Saccharomyces cerevisiae S288C: one gene and its partners. The protein of the gene in region 2 interacts with the protein of the main gene of each other region in a biochemical or structural test. Each region holds a gene or a part of one and is shown on either strand. Other genes may lie near its edges.

Region 1 (3,374 bases), on a different chromosome or scaffold from region 2:
GCTAGAAAACAAAGATTTGATGATTACAAGAAGTTCGGTGCCGTGATTATATGCTTAAAACATCTCAATATGAAGTCATGGTGTTTTACTTAATTCAAAAGCATAACAGTATTTATGTACATTGAATGACTTTGTATTTACAATTAATTTGAGTTGTCTTTCCTTGTGTCTATAACTTCTGGGGATAAAATAGCAGCATTAGCCAATGACGCTGCTTTTTCATCTGCATTCATCTCAGGCTCCTTTTTAGAGTCACTTACAGCTGTACCATCACCATAATGAGCTCTGAAGAATGTGTAATGTAAAATAATATCATCGATATTTCGCATCGCTGGATCGCTAGCAAAATCTGGATCGATAAAAAAGAAGACAGGCATATCTATTTCTTCACCGGCAGCTAGCTTTTGTTCTTCAAAGCAAAAACATTGGATTTTATTAAAGTATTGAGCTGCTTCACCAGGCGCTATGCTATAAGTAGCCATACCAATAATATCTTTATCGCTGTAATTCTTGGCTTTATAAAAAGCGAGGGCTGTTTCACCAGGCAGAACGTAAACCTCACGTTGTTGAGGAACGAATTTCCACGGTAAAATTTGTGATACTTCACTGGTGAATGAGATACGAATTCTCTTCTCAGTATCTACAGGAATGAGTTTATCGTCGGTAAATTTTCTTCTATCTGTTATGGGAATCCCACCAAAACCAGTACGAGCACAAATGGCTCTATAGAGTGGTACCGCTGCATATGCCAAACCCAAGAAAAGTACCGCGACGCTGCTGAAATAAAATGCAACCGTACGATCTTTAAATTTTCTCTCCCTTGCTCTTTTCAACTCTCGCAATTGCTGGATTTCATTTCTAGTAAGTTTTGAAATATCAAATGTATGTTTTGGTTGTTCGCTGTTCACTGAATAACTTCTCAATGCAACGTTTTTGCATATGGCCCGCCTTAGAGCTAGCGCATGAGGTGCCAACCATGAGTCGGATCTAAGAAAAGTTCCTAACAGTGGAACCTTAGATCTAACAATGGGACATATTCTTATCATGACAATATTAGGGAATTTTGGCTGCAATATTATTTGTTTGTGCGCTGAAGTGCTATTTCACCTGCGACAGGAATATTATTACTTTAAAGAAGATACTTAAGCGTTCGCTGCCCCTTTAGACTCTTCACTGTTCTTTGATTTGTATTGGTTAGTATCTATGTCCTTAAAAGATATATCATGTTTCATCCGTCAAAGGGCATTGGTTAGGGAAAGGGTTTTCCAATGGTTACGCTGTTTTTCCTACAGATCCGCTCCTTAGATGGGGAGAATAATGTTTTGGAATGGCAGAAAACAAGAAAAAGCAAAACAAAGAGTACGAAGGAAAATGAAAAATAGTTGAATATTAGAAAAAAGGATGAGGTCTCTGGGATGGAAGAAGAAAGTAATTCTTATGAGAAAATTTGCGGGAGTTCTTTGCCAGTGAGATAAAGTTTTTTTTAATTTTAATCAACACAAAATACACATATTTATATAAACTGACGAAATAATGTCAGCAAACAGTGGTGTAAAACGAGCCAGTAAGGCTTTTAAAACATGTTTATTTTGTAAACGGTCACATGTTGTATGTGATAAGCAACGTCCATGTTCTAGGTGCGTCAAGAGGGATATTGCCCATTTATGCAGGGAAGATGATATTGCGGTTCCAAATGAGATGCCATCACAGCACGAAAGTTCTCCGAATGATAATAATATACAGGGCAAATATGCAAATAAAGCACACACTGGAATTCCGTCTGACTATCAGAATGAACCAGTCAATAAAAGTGGATCCACATATGGAGAGGAACTGTCACCGAAACTAGACTCCTCTCTTGTAAATGATACAACCAGCTTGCTGCTTCCGCAACAACCTGTATTTGTGTCCGAGAATGTTGGTTCGGAATTCAGTTCTTTGAATGAATTTCTTTCTATGCTAGAAAATCCTCTATTGACTCAAACATCACTAAGTTCCAGCAGTGCGAGCAATGTTCATTTGGAAAATGGCTCACAAACCACACAATCGCCATTAGAGTACCAAAACGACAATCGTAGGGATGAAATAGGAGTGGCAAGACAAGAAAATAGGTCGCCTACTATTATGTCAGGTTCTTCCAATAGTATCTCGAAAGGGGATAAACAAGATCAAGAAAAGGAAGAGTCTCGAATTCTAGCGAATGCAAACGAAAACAGTGCACCGACACCGAAGGAACAATTCTTTTTAACAGCGGCGGATCCGTCAACAGAGATGACACCAGAACACCGGCTGAAGTTGGTCATAAATGCGAAGCTTGAAGCAGGATTATTGAAGCCGTATAATTATGCCAAGGGGTATGCAAGACTACAAGACTACATGGACAAATATATGAATCAGTCTTCCAAGCAAAGGATTCTGAAACCACTATCCACCATTAGACCGGCGTTTAGAACCATTGCGCGTTCATTGAAGGATGTTGACTTAGTTTTAGTGGAGGAGAGCTTCGAGAGGATGTTATTATCTTATGATCGTGTTTTCACCTCTATGAGCATGCCAGCGTGCTTGTGTAGGCGTACCGGTGAGATTTACAGAGCCAATAAAGAGTTTGCTTCACTGGTTGACTGCACAGTCGATGATTTACGCGATGGAAAGCTTGCGATCTACGAGTTGATGACAGAAGAAAGCGCTGTGAATTTCTGGGAAAAATACGGGTCCATAGCGTTTGATAAGGGTCAGAAGGCTGTTTTAACAAGTTGTAGTCTTCGAACCAAAGATGGAATCCGCAAACGGCCATGCTGTTTTAGTTTCACTATCAGAAGGGATAGGTACAACATCCCAATTTGCATCGTCGGGAATTTCATCCCTTTGTCATAAGCATAAGTAATACATAGTAGGTAATTGGTATTTCCAGCGTCATTAAAAAGCAAAGTAACGGGTTTACTTTTTCCTCAAGCCGCTGGCCCGAGCAGTTACTTGAAATAGCCGTATTACTACGAGCAATACGAAGACCTTTTTCTACCAGCATTTGTTTTTTTTCAAATCATTCCCATTATTACCCCAGGATCTTTTCATAATGCGGCGACCAGAGATAGGGAAAAAAACTGCGAACTGGCTGAATCTGATTTGGCGAAGGGCAGATTCTCGGGTATTTCTGTGAGGGTGACCGCCGTTGATATATATCAGTGACTTTTGGGAACCTTTATCTCATTTATTCTCAAGATAGAACTGTAACGAGGGTGAAAGAAAAAGAACTGTAAGATGACATCTATAGATAATAGACCTTTGCCGTTCATATACCAGTTCACAGCCGGTGCCATTGCCGGCGTCTCGGAGCTATTGGTGATGTATCCATTGGACGTGGTGAAGACAAGAAT
Region 2 (9,352 bases):
ATTTCAGAGTTTGTAGGGATGTCGCGGATAAATTGAAGTACTCCAAACCTGCTTTGCTTCATTCCAGATTCTTTCCAGCTTTGCAAGGTTCCACGACCAAAATGTCAGCCTCTGATGATACCACTGCCATTTTCATGACCGATACACCAAAGCAAATTCAAAAGAAAATTAACAAGTACGCATTCAGCGGTGGTCAAGTGTCCGCCGACCTACATAGAGAATTAGGTGGTAATCCCGATGTCGATGTTGCATACCAATACTTGTCATTTTTCAAGGATGACGATGTTTTCTTGAAGGAATGCTATGACAAATATAAGTCCGGTGAATTACTATCAGGTGAAATGAAGAAACTGTGTATCGAGACTCTGCAAGAATTCGTTAAGGCGTTCCAGGAACGCAGAGCTCAGGTGGACGAAGAGACCTTGGACAAATTCATGGTCCCACATAAGTTGGTTTGGGGCGAAAAGGAAAGACTTGTCGCACCTAAGCCAAAAACTAAGCAAGAAAAGAAGTAAGTAGTCACGCTTATTCTGACGCTATTATATACAATGATATAGAATCCGAAATTGTAGTTTAACACTAAAAAAATAATGCAATAGAACAATAGTGTTGCGATGTCTCCTGACCTCACTATTTCTATAGATTGGTATGAAAAATTTTTTTTTCAAATATATGGGAAAAATTTTTCACGGCATATAAAAGACTACCATCTTTCTGCATCAGTGTGCCAGACCCATTCTCACACCAAGAAGCGAGGAAGCTAACAGGCCAGTACTTGCAGGTTAGGTTTTCGTGCTCAGATGAGCAGATCATGGACTGCATTGTGCTGTTGTTGCACAGTAAATTTTGTATACCATACTTTATGATGATATTCTTTACGAACTTTTAGACGTTAGACTTCTGAAGGAGATTAGACCCTCCTATGGAAGAGAAACTCGTTAAACTTATCTGAGTAGGTATGTGTATATGCGTCTCTTGTATTATACAAATGTTCTTATTTCTTGTCCTGCATTTTTCCGAGTATTGGTAAATTCATGTAAATTTTTCATCCCATAGATCGTAATTTTGAAGTAGTGGCAAAAGATTTTAACAGAGCGTAAGATATAGTGAGAGAAACTACTCGCTGAAAAGTTGAAAGTGACCCAAAAAACGGCACGAAGACCAATTATACGCACTTTCAACACAGTTCGTCGAATCTTCACAATGGGGTTCAAGAAGCTCGTATCATTCCAACCGGATTATGTCCCACAATACCATATAACTAAATATATCTCGGAACGAACTAAACTGCAACTGGTACATATAAACCACAAAACCTCCCCATTGGTTCACGGTTACTTTGCTGTTCCTACAGAATGTCTTAATGATTCAGGTGCTCCGCATACCTTGGAGCATTTGATCTTCATGGGTTCTAAATCTTACCCATACAAAGGTTTATTAGACACAGCTGGTAATCTGTCTTTGTCTAACACCAATGCTTGGACTGATACCGACCAAACTGTTTATACATTAAGCAGTGCTGGCTGGAAGGGATTCTCAAAGTTGCTACCTGCTTATCTAGATCACATCCTACATCCAACTTTAACAGACGAGGCTTGTTTAACTGAGGTTTATCACATCGACCCGGAAAATTTGGGTGATAAAGGTGTGGTATTTAGTGAAATGGAAGCCATTGAAACTCAGGGCTGGTACATTTCAGGGTTAGAAAAGCAGCGATTAATGTTTCCTGAAGGAAGTGGCTATCGGTCAGAAACTGGTGGGCTAACGAAAAATTTAAGAACCTTAACCAACGACGAAATCAGACAATTTCACAAATCTCTGTATTCTTCTGATAATCTTTGTGTCATTGTTTGTGGTAACGTACCAACAGATGAACTGTTAACCGTCATGGAAGAATGGGATAACAAATTGCCGGAGATTCCATCGAATATACCAAAGAAAAGACCATTTTTGGACAACAAGCTTTCGCACATACCGCAATCTAGAGATAAAGTTACGGAATCTACTGTAGAATTTCCTGAACTTGATGAAAGTCAGGGTGAATTACTCTTTTCTTGGATTGGTGTTCCCTACTCAGATTTTCGTAATGACCTAGCGGTTGATGTGCTATTAGATTACTTTACTGACTCTGCATTGGCAGTGTTTACAAGAGAACTGGTTGAAATTGACGATCCCATGGCAAATTCCACTGATTGTTGCACTGATTATTTCATGAGAACCATAATTGATCTTCGTATCCAAGGTGTCCCAACAGAAAAAATAGCAGCAACAAAGACCAAGGTACTGGAGATTTTGAAAACCCATACCATTGATTTATCAAGAGTTAGACAGGTAGTTGAAAATACTAAATGGGAATATTTGCTGAACTATGAAAAAAATGGCGAGAGTCGTTTTTCTAGTGCTGTGATTACCGACTATATTTATGGTAATGAAGATGGTTCTTCATTAGTGTCTTCTCTCAAGGATTTAAGTGATTTTGATGCTTTATTACAATGGTCCCAAAAGGACTGGCAATCTTTGCTGAACAGAATATTCGTAGACAACAAACCTATCATAGTTACCGCTAAACCAAGCGCTTTGATGTATGAACAACTAGAGAAAGAAAAATCGGATTTGATCAAACAAAGAGAAGCTGAATTTGATGATGAAAAGAAACTGGTTTTATTGAAAAGATTGAACAATGCAAAAAATATTAATGATAGGCCAATTCCGAAATCTCTACTACAGAAATTTGAGATTGATAATCCTTCAAAGAGTGTTGAATTTGTCAACACGAAAAGCATTGCAACTGTCGATTCGTATAAATACAATAATGTTAGTGATCCGCTGACCAAAAAAATTTTAGAAACGAGGCCAGACAATTTTCCTCTTTTCATTCACTTAAATCATTTCCCGTCTCAATTTATAGAGCTGCATTTTTTGGTCAACTCCGCATCTATTAAGGATACCTCGCTTTTACCATATTTTAATATGTTTGACGAGCTATTTTCCATGCCAATGAAAATCCTTGATGAGGAGAGTAATGTAGAAACTATGCTCTCGTTTGAGGAAGTTGTCGCCAAGTTAAAATCAGAAACTATTGACGCACAGATCAACCAAGGTTTGAAGGGTTCTTGTCCTGACCTTATTAATTTTAAAATTCAATGTAGAGCTGGGGGTTACTCTAACTCTGTTCAATGGATCAAGCACTGCCTATTTGACATGGTTTTTGATGAAAATCGTGTTCGTATTCTGCTGGAGAATTATTTGAATTCTATTGTAGAATGGAAAAGAAATGGTAATGTTATGTTAAGTTCTTTAACTAACAGAAATCTCTATTCGGCAAGATCGCTGAAAAAATCCACCGATCCATTATTTGTTGAAGCAAAATTACAAGAGATTTTTGCAGAAATTGAGAATGGCAACTTTGAGAAAGAAATTTTGCCAAGAATAGAAACAATGAGAAAGCAACTGAGAGCAAATTTCAACAAGTTTCATATTTTGGTTCTTGGTGACATCTCAAAGATCGATGACGTTTATGAACCATGGAATCCCTTAATTAAGTGCTTGAACATTGCACATCCAGTTGAGAAGTTAAAAATTCCACCAGTTCCAAGAGCCCTAGATACCATTTCATCGATTTGCAGAACACCTGGTGAAAAGGCCTTTATAATAACTACTCCCGCCTCAGAATCTGCTTATATGAATCTAATAACGTCTATCCCATTTAACTTGGACTACCATGATCCCGAATACGCTATTGTCTCATTGGCTTCCGAATATCTAGAATGTGTTGAAGGTCCATTTTGGAAGGGAATCCGTGGTGCCGGATTGGCCTATGGTGCCAGCATGTTAAAATTATGTGAGATAAATTCTTGGGGATTCAATATTTACCGCGGCGCTGATATTATTAAATGTTATGAAGTTGGAAAACAGATTGTTCAAGATTATGCATCAGGTGCCTTGGAATTTGATGAGCAGTTAATCCAAGGTGCCATCAGTAGTATTATTAACAGGCTGGCTACTATCGAATGCGGATACTTTGAAACAGCCCTGTCCAAATATGTTGATGAATTCTGTTTGCAAAGGGGGAACAACTTCAATGAATTGTATTTGGAAAGGTTGCAGAATGTTACCAAAACAGATCTGAAAAATGCCATGCAGAAATATTTTGTCAACATGTTTGATTCCAATAAAAGCGTTGCCTTTGTGAGCTGTCATCCAGCTAAATTGGAATCAGTTCAAGAATTCTTTGAAACTCAAGGTTTCACTGTCGAAATAGAAGAGCTAGAAGATGACGATGACGAAATTGATAGTGAAGAAGACGAAAATGCGTGAGTACATGACCTCCATTTCAGCTTCACTTTCAACACAGAAACAGTGCGTATTATCTGCATTCAATAAATAGCAAAAGGAGCATTGTCTCATTCTTTTCGAATTCTGGGATTCTGCCTTACGGCGCTCTTTCATTTGATTGATCGAGAATTATTATTATATTTATATGAGTACTTGAAATTCCTCATATATTTATTTTTAGAGTATTTAAGTAGCTTGATGAAAACATTAGATAAAATTACTAATTACGACCTCTTCGATTTTGCAGATGAGTTTTTGAAATTTGTTCCTGTGTTTAGACCTAATCCCACGGTAACTTGTCTTTTTGGCAATCCGTTAACTAATTTACTGGTTAACGGTACTGGAGCAGCGTGTTTTTTTGAATTTTGTTCCTTGGCATTGATAAAGGTTTCAAAAATTCTGCTTGATCTGTTGCTCTTAGCGCTATTAATCGATTCAGAAAACGAATTGTGCTTTGAAATTGATGGAGATTGGCTATGCGTCCTGGGTTTTGGCGAAGGAGACTTGGAAGTTGGAAGATCTTTAGGTATGGCTCTTCCGGATGATGATGTTCTTCTTTCAATTACCTTTTGGTTTCTTTGCAACAGTTCTTTCTCTATTTTATTTGTATTCGAATTAAGAATTTTTTTGAGAACAGTAAACAATTTGCTCGTGGTTTTTTTATCAGTGCTCAAAAGAAATGACTTGTAAGGTGTCTGAATCACAACTATATGATTAGTTCCCATTTCCAAGGGAATGATTAGTTCTTTTATTTTGGTACCCTGTTGACGCAAATTTATGTCATATTCTAGTTCATACTTTAAATTTGTAACTGGATTTGGCTGCCTCCTCTTGGCAAATACTAGAAACCTTCCAAATGATGTCATTACAATGGTTCGTTTATAGTACTTGGTTTTTTCATCAGAGGAAGAGAGCGTTTCAGCTGCTGAGGTAGGGTGAAATAATTTTTTAATCTTGCCAGAAAAAACAGAGCTTCCTTTATTGTTAGATTCGGATTTATCATCGTCTTTCATTGGTGAGCTGTTTTGATTGCATTTGTACCCTTCTCCGCTTCTGTTAGTAAGCAACTCCGATAAGTCACCTCCTTCAATTCGATAATCATCTTCCAAGAGCTGCAAATCGATAATATTTTTCGAATAGTACGTATCTTCTGTTTTGGAATAAGCAGTCATAGTTGGATCATTTCGAAAACCTGTAACCTCTCCCCCACTCCTAGCTACTTGGGATAAAAAAGTATGTCTAGGCTTACCAAACAGTTGAGGATCTAACAATGAACCATTTAGTTTAAGCATTTTCTTCTCTAAGATATCGTAATTTGTGGTAACAAAATCCAGTTTTTCCGTCCTTAGTACATGTTCGTTGATGTTTTTCAGGTAAAAGGACCATTGAATATCTTGCTTGTTCATCAAGGGAGAATCTGTGCTATTTTTAACATTTTGCTTACTAATACAAGGCTTAGGTGCGGCAATTGCGGTATCAGAATAATCCTGCTGTTTTGTCGTATAGGGAGGTGTCATTTGATATGTATCATATGGTGTCATAGGGGGCGACATTGGAGGTGTGTATGGAGGCATTGGGACTTTTGACGATAAAACTGATGCTGACAAAGGTGGAGATTTGGCAAATGGTTTACTTTCTGTAGAAGAAGTACGCTTATAAGTTCCTGGTCTTGATGTTGTCGCAGGAGAGCTTGACCTGCTACTTTTCGAACTAGAAGTTGGATAGCTTTGCATGGTTTTCTTGGTTAAAGCAGCAGAAGCTGCTAGGGCAGCAGAAGCTGCACCACTTGGTGTTCTCTTGCCTGGTTGATTTTTCCTATTGTTTATACCCTTTCTTGCATTTTCAAGTATCTGCGCTGTTCTTTCATCAGTGGGTCTCTTCTTTATTGATATTTCACTTTCAGTAGAAGCGTGAGTATTGTTATTGTATAGGGTTGAATGAGTAGTTTCCTCAACAGAGGGACTTGAAGCTGACCTTTGAGTCACTAGATGCGATTTGCCAAGTGTGTTGACTGATTTCTTCACCAGTTTTCTATCGCTTCCGCTTGGCATTGCCTGCATGGATTTGGCGTTGATTTTATATGGTTTGATCTCTGGAGGCGTTTTTGACCAAACAGAGCCGTCTTTAAAATTCAAATCTTTGAAAAAATGATGTTCCTTAATTTGGCTTATCGTCAATCTTCGGTCTAAGTTTTTTACTAAGATTTTCTTAACCAAATCTCTGATAATAAGTGGGAAACCTGGTGTAAAGGCGTACTGAACTTTCATTACCTTTTGGAAAGTCAAGTATTCATTGGTAGCTTTGAATGGTGGTTTTCCGGCAATCATCTGGAAAAGTATACATCCGAAGGCCCAAATATCGCAACGATAGTCTGTAAAACTGTCATTTAAAAGTTCTGGAGATACGTATTCTGCAGTTCCAACGAAAGATTTCGACCTTGTTGATAAATCGTATTCTGGTTTCGAAACGCTATTATTTGTAGGATTCAGTAACTTCGCAGTACCAAAATCAGTCAGTTTGATCTTCATTTCTCCATCTAAAAGAATATTTTCTGGTTTTATATCTCTATGAATAATACCGTTGGAATGTAAGTAGTCTATGGCATCTATTATTTGCGCAGCATAATATCGTGCGCAGGTTTCGTCTAATGAACCGTATTTTTTCATTAAAGAAAGAAAGTCCCCATTGGGGGCATACTCTAAGAGAAAGTATAGGCTTGATTCATCCTGAAAAGTGGAAAATAATCGCACAACACTAGGAGAATTATTGAGCTTTTGAAGGGCGGTTTTTTCTATGCTGACGTATTTGACTTTCTTCTGGCGTATTAAATATTCTTTGTTTAGTACTTTTGCGGCGTACCTCTTTTTGGTATCAATCGACGTCGCTAACATTACAGTAGAATACGCGCCATCACCTATTACACTACCAAATTTAAAGTCCTTGATTCCCTTTTTGATTATATTTTTTTGGGCTTTGGATGACTCTTTAGCTATTGGTTTTTGAGATGAAGAGTCATGTTCAATCTTTACTTTGTTTCGATTTTTTTCCATGTGGGGACTTCCCGCTATATTATCCAAAGTTTTTTGGTCATTAATATCGTTATTATCGTAATCGTTGTCATATCTGCCGTCGTTGGTACTAGCGACAGTTTTTCCGTTTTCATCATTAATCATTACTTCTTTAATAGTGTCATCATCAAGATTTTTTCTCTGCTGATTATGGTACATTTCAATGAAATTATCCGTATTCGTCAAGGCCTTTTGAATCATAGGCTTAGCGGTTCTTTTTTCCAAAAGTAAATCGCCAACGTTTCTATTCGAAGTGCTTCTTTGTGGAGTGGCTTTTGCGTCATAATGGGGGTCTAAATGCGAGAATTTCTCCTTTTTCGTTAGAAGATTAATGTTTAGCTTCTGCTCATCACTTGGCAATAACGGCCTAGGGCTCATGGAATTATCCTTATCAAAATACATTTGGTTGAAATGAAAAAAAAAAAAGGAGAGATTTAATTTCTTTTGCTTTTTAAAAACTAGTTAGTGGCTTCTCGGTTCATCAAGATGTTACTTTTGTTTTCCCTTTTCGAACTATTTTATGTAGTTTCTTGTTCTTAAATACCCCTAAGTACCTTTGTACACCAATATCAGACTTCAAAGGCGGTAACTGGAGTAAAAATATTAACAGTTTCGTTGTCAAAACTATTCTCTGCCTCAGAAATGTGAATATATAATTTCTGTGTTGCGGAAGCTTTGAAGATGAATGCCAATAGCGCCTTAAAGAAAACTAAAAGGATCGGGAAATGTTCGCTTCCATTTGGGGTTATTATTGCTAAACGTCAAAAGTTATTCTAGTTTATTTCGTCGAATATGATTTCTTTTTGCACGTGACTTTTCTCCGATTATCCTGGGCGGCTATTTCTCCGCTGTTTAACTAGGGACCAATTATTCCATCAACAATGTGTCGAGTCGATCGTTAACCATCTGTCATGTTTCATACCTTATTCTAGGCATATATGGGCCCACCATATATTTTTGAGCCTTAGACTTTTCGTATTTGGGGTACATCAGCTTCCATTGCTACAGAACTATTTGAGTCTCAACCATTAGCTATAGAGCTAGTCGGAAATGGCGGGACCGAAACAACTTTTGATAGTACAGGGAACTCCAGCGTATGTTTCTCTAGGTGACAAGAAATAAAACTGGAGACAGGCGATTGACAGAAGGATCAGAAGCAATAGTCTTACTACTTATAGACAGAGAAAAATGATTATTCCATATGTTACCCTGATATTCTACGAGAAAATGGGCCTTCGTCAATAGCTATTTAATTTAAGCATATGTACGGGCAGTACCAGCTGTTATAGTTTACATAAAATAGACATATTCACGTGTATGCAAGGGCACATAAAAGCAAAGGCTGACATTGAAACATAGCAAGCCAAGAGATAGAAAAGGAGGATACGGGGTGAACAGCCGGTCTATTCTTATATATACTTCAAAGAAGCGATAGTTCTGTCCGTATAAAAACTCGGACAATTCGGACAGCACTCCGCGAGAAAAGGGCTCGTTGGGCAGCTCAACATTATTCAACGCAAGCCTGTTGAGCTCAATTGGTTTTAATTGTAAATACTCAATGGTGTCAACAGCTAAATGATTTACACTCATATATATGGTCCGGATATATGGACGCAGAAGTAAAATAAAAATGAAAAAAAGTAGAAAAGGAAATTAATTTCTTAAAGTTCTTGTCAGCGCATATAATATTGGTATAAAGGTACATATATATTGACAGTATGGTTTCATTGACTACAATAGAGCAAAGCCCAGTCAAATGCGAGACAACCACTGAGAAAGAGAGCAATGATACTAGGGGGACAGATTCGAACGAGAATGCAGAGACAAAAGAAACAAAGAAGGGTTTTCCATTCCATGACTTGGCAAAATTGCAGAAACAGTACAAAAATAAATCCAGTAGGAACGAGTCACTAGTAGCACTAATATATCTCTTGGGTTCGATGCTGTCA
Region 3 (3,011 bases), on a different chromosome or scaffold from region 2:
GTATGAGAAGGTGGCTGTATATACGCTACAGTATCATAAGTACTAATAAGAAATTCAGAACTTATATGGTTGGAATCATGATCTTCGTTGGTCTTTTGTTCATCGATTCATGGAAAAGGTCACAGATCAGAGTGTCTACGTACCGCAACCAGAAAAATCCCTATATAATAAATAGTGTAACCCCAGTGGATGCACTGGCTTCAAGGGCATATAACCAAAGGAATGTTTACATTTCAGGCTTCATCATCTACTTTTATATATGTATACTCACCGTGATGAGTATATTGCGAAGAATAGTGGAATGGAATGACAAAATGAAGGCTGGAGATGACATTCTGAAGGAAAAGTTAAGACGAAAGCAAAAATATTTAGAGGAATTGCAGAAGAAGAAATTTTAAAAGGAAAAAACTAAAAAAGAAGAAAAGGAAAAACTTACATATGTAAATAGAACAAATGAATATAAACTAAAATTTGACAAATTTTTTTTCTTTTTGGGGTGATTATATCATTTCTGGATGAGGAATACCTGAAGACCACTCTTCATTAAAATGTTCTTTAAAAATATTCTTTTGGATATATTCTACTAGTTGTCCGTCCTTAGAAGATAATCTGTTGCCATTCGATTTCACAATTTCGTAATTATCCAGAGCAAGTTTCAATTCTTCCATGCTACTGACTCCAAGAACAACGGGTCCCTTTCCTACCCATTCCGAAATCGCGTATCTTGTGGCCAAATCGGCTAAGTCGACATTTTGTTCTTGACAGTATTTGGCAGCCTGAGATGCGCATTCTCTCAATTCATGAGAACACGGGTGAAACTGTCTTGTCTCCTGTGACCTTAGTAGCGACATGCTCAAGATTGATGCGTTGCAAACCATTTTCAGTTTAGCATTGCGTAGCAGTCTTTCTCGAAAGTTCAATAGCTTATTGTTTTGTAAGTTCAAGTTACAATAGGACAATACTGCATCCAATGACCCAATATCACTTTCCTCGGTAGAGCAGTACTCAGCAAGCCAGGTGATAAAGTCGATTGGGTAGCCTGATATGCCAAAATTTTTGATAACTCCTTTGTTCTTCAAGGTCCTCAATTCCTTTAATGCCTCTAAGATGTCTGGAAATTTGACAAACTCGACATCGTGCAAGTACACCAAATCGAGATATGTAGTGTGTAATCTTTCGCACGATCTGTGAACACTAAATCTCACGAAATCTCTAGAATAGTTAAACTCTTCCGCACCAATACGCCCAACCTTTGTGCATATAAAATAAGTGTCTCTGGGAAATTCATTCCTTAAATTGGACAGTGCCCTACCATAAAGAACCTCACTAGGGCCATAGTAGGGAGAAGTGTCAATTGCATTGATACCATGCGAAAATGCGTATTTGATTATGTCTTCCAGTGGAATGGATTCTGGCTCATCTGTATATTGCTGGTTCAGTATTGCACCTCCTAAGACTAAAGGAGAAACCGAAGCTAAGTCGAATGGATTCACTTTTTCATTAACCATCTTATAGTCTCCGTTGTTACTCTTTTATTTATGTGTACTCTTCCTTCCTGTTAACAGAGTAGATAAATATAGGCTTTAAACTTACCGTGTACTGAAACCCAGAAGGCAGCTTTCTTTTTTCCAGAAAGTAAAATAATGACAAAAAAATCGACTACATATGCACAATGCTAAGTTATATGACACTTTCTTTCTTATCCTCACTTATCCATAAGACACCCCTCTTCTTCAGAGAATTTGGTAAGCAATTTCATGTATTTCCATGAGAATGGGCTCGCATCCCAGAGCGCAACTAATATATGAATATAAGCGGATTTAGCTCAGTTGGGAGAGCGCCAGACTGAAGAAATACTTCGGTCAAGTTATCTGGAGGTCCTGTGTTCGATCCACAGAATTCGCATTAATTTTTTTTTACTTTTCATTCGTTTTCCTCTTTTGGTGATGAGCAGCATCACAGAAGCGGGTGGGTCATCCATTATTAGACGGTAAGTGAAAAAAATTTGATGATTCAGGTGAACCGCTATGGAAAGGCACGTAGTTCTACTTACTCCTAGCAAGTAGCTATGCGATTTTCCTGCGCCATTTTTTTTCCCACATTAGTTACATACACTCTCTAAAGAATATTGCTAAATATGACGTCGAATAGCGACGGTTCAAGTACCAGTCCAGTTGAGAAACCAATTACCGGCGATGTTGAAACTAATGAACCTACCAAACCAATACGGCGGCTTTCAACGCCATCGCCAGAACAAGATCAAGAAGGCGATTTCGACGAAGAAGACGATGATGACAAATTCAGCGTGAGCACATCAACTCCCACCCCAACCATAACGAAAACTAAGGACAGCAGCGACACAAGTACGGTTACGAGGCGGAAGCAGCCGATCAGGTACATCGAGAATAAGACCCGGAGACATGTCACCTTCTCGAAGAGGCGGCACGGGATCATGAAAAAAGCATATGAGCTCTCCGTCCTAACCGGCGCCAATATTCTGCTTCTAATTCTGGCAAACTCTGGCCTGGTCTACACTTTCACAACGCCTAAGCTCGAGCCGGTGGTACGGGAAGACGAGGGTAAGAGCCTCATCAGGGCATGCATCAATGCTTCAGACACTCCTGACGCTACCGACACGTCGCCGGCACAGGAACAATCTCCGGCAAACTGAACATGCGAGAGTAAGAGATGCCCCACGAAGGCATAGGCAGATCCATATAGCACAATACGCGCATATAAAGTAGCATTGCTGCCAAAGGGGGTTGCACAAGGAGTTGCCCTCCTTCGGCACGCGGCTCGGAACATACCGGAGTGTCCCCCTTTGAGTAATTTTTCTCAAAAGAGGCACTTTTGCGCTGGGCCGCAGGAAATTTCCCTTTCTGTTCAGCACCTGTTGTCCTATATTAAGCTGTGCCAAACAAGGTCATCTCCAAATACTTACCAAAAAGCTAGGGCGTACTGTACTGGAATCTCTGCTTTTTTCTTTACCTTACTTCAATTTGCCTTGTCTG

What was found. Proteins that work in one complex are often made in the same cells at the same time.
Region 1: the proteins of PKH2 (region 2) and RDS2 form a complex in vitro, tested with the Saccharomyces cerevisiae proteins (one large-scale study listed by BioGRID).
Region 3: the proteins of PKH2 (region 2) and ARA2 form a complex in vitro, tested with the Saccharomyces cerevisiae proteins (one large-scale study listed by BioGRID).

What each region holds. Positions count from the first base shown.
Region 1 is NC_001148.4:299,388-302,761, reverse strand, and holds RDS2 (gluconeogenesis transcription factor RDS2), read left to right. Parts: upstream 1-1,533; coding exon 1,534-2,874; downstream 2,875-3,374. Other genes in the region: COX11 (Cox11p), read right to left, coding at 144-1,046; ODC1 (mitochondrial 2-oxodicarboxylate carrier), read left to right, coding at 3,259-3,374. UniProt on the Saccharomyces cerevisiae protein: Transcription factor which regulates the expression of genes for gluconeogenesis, the TCA cycle, and glucose metabolism. Involved in the cell wall remodeling process and drug resistance.
Region 2 is NC_001147.6:127,690-137,041, reverse strand, and holds PKH2 (serine/threonine protein kinase PKH2), read right to left. Parts: upstream 7,806-9,352; coding exon 4,560-7,805; downstream 1-4,559. Other genes in the region: tryptophan--tRNA ligase WRS1, read left to right, coding at 1-515; YOL097W-A (uncharacterized protein), read right to left, coding at 637-822; SDD3 (Sdd3p), read left to right, coding at 1,204-4,317; IZH4 (Izh4p), read left to right, coding at 9,122-9,352. UniProt on the Saccharomyces cerevisiae protein: Serine/threonine-protein kinase which is part sphingolipid-mediated signaling pathway that is required for the internalization step of endocytosis by regulating eisosome assembly and organization, and modulating the organization of the plasma membrane.
Region 3 is NC_001145.3:350,466-353,476, forward strand, and holds ARA2 (D-arabinose 1-dehydrogenase (NAD(P)(+)) ARA2), read right to left. Parts: upstream 1,509-3,011; coding exon 501-1,508; downstream 1-500. Other genes in the region: YET2 (Yet2p), read left to right, coding at 1-398; ARG80 (Arg80p), read left to right, coding at 2,138-2,671.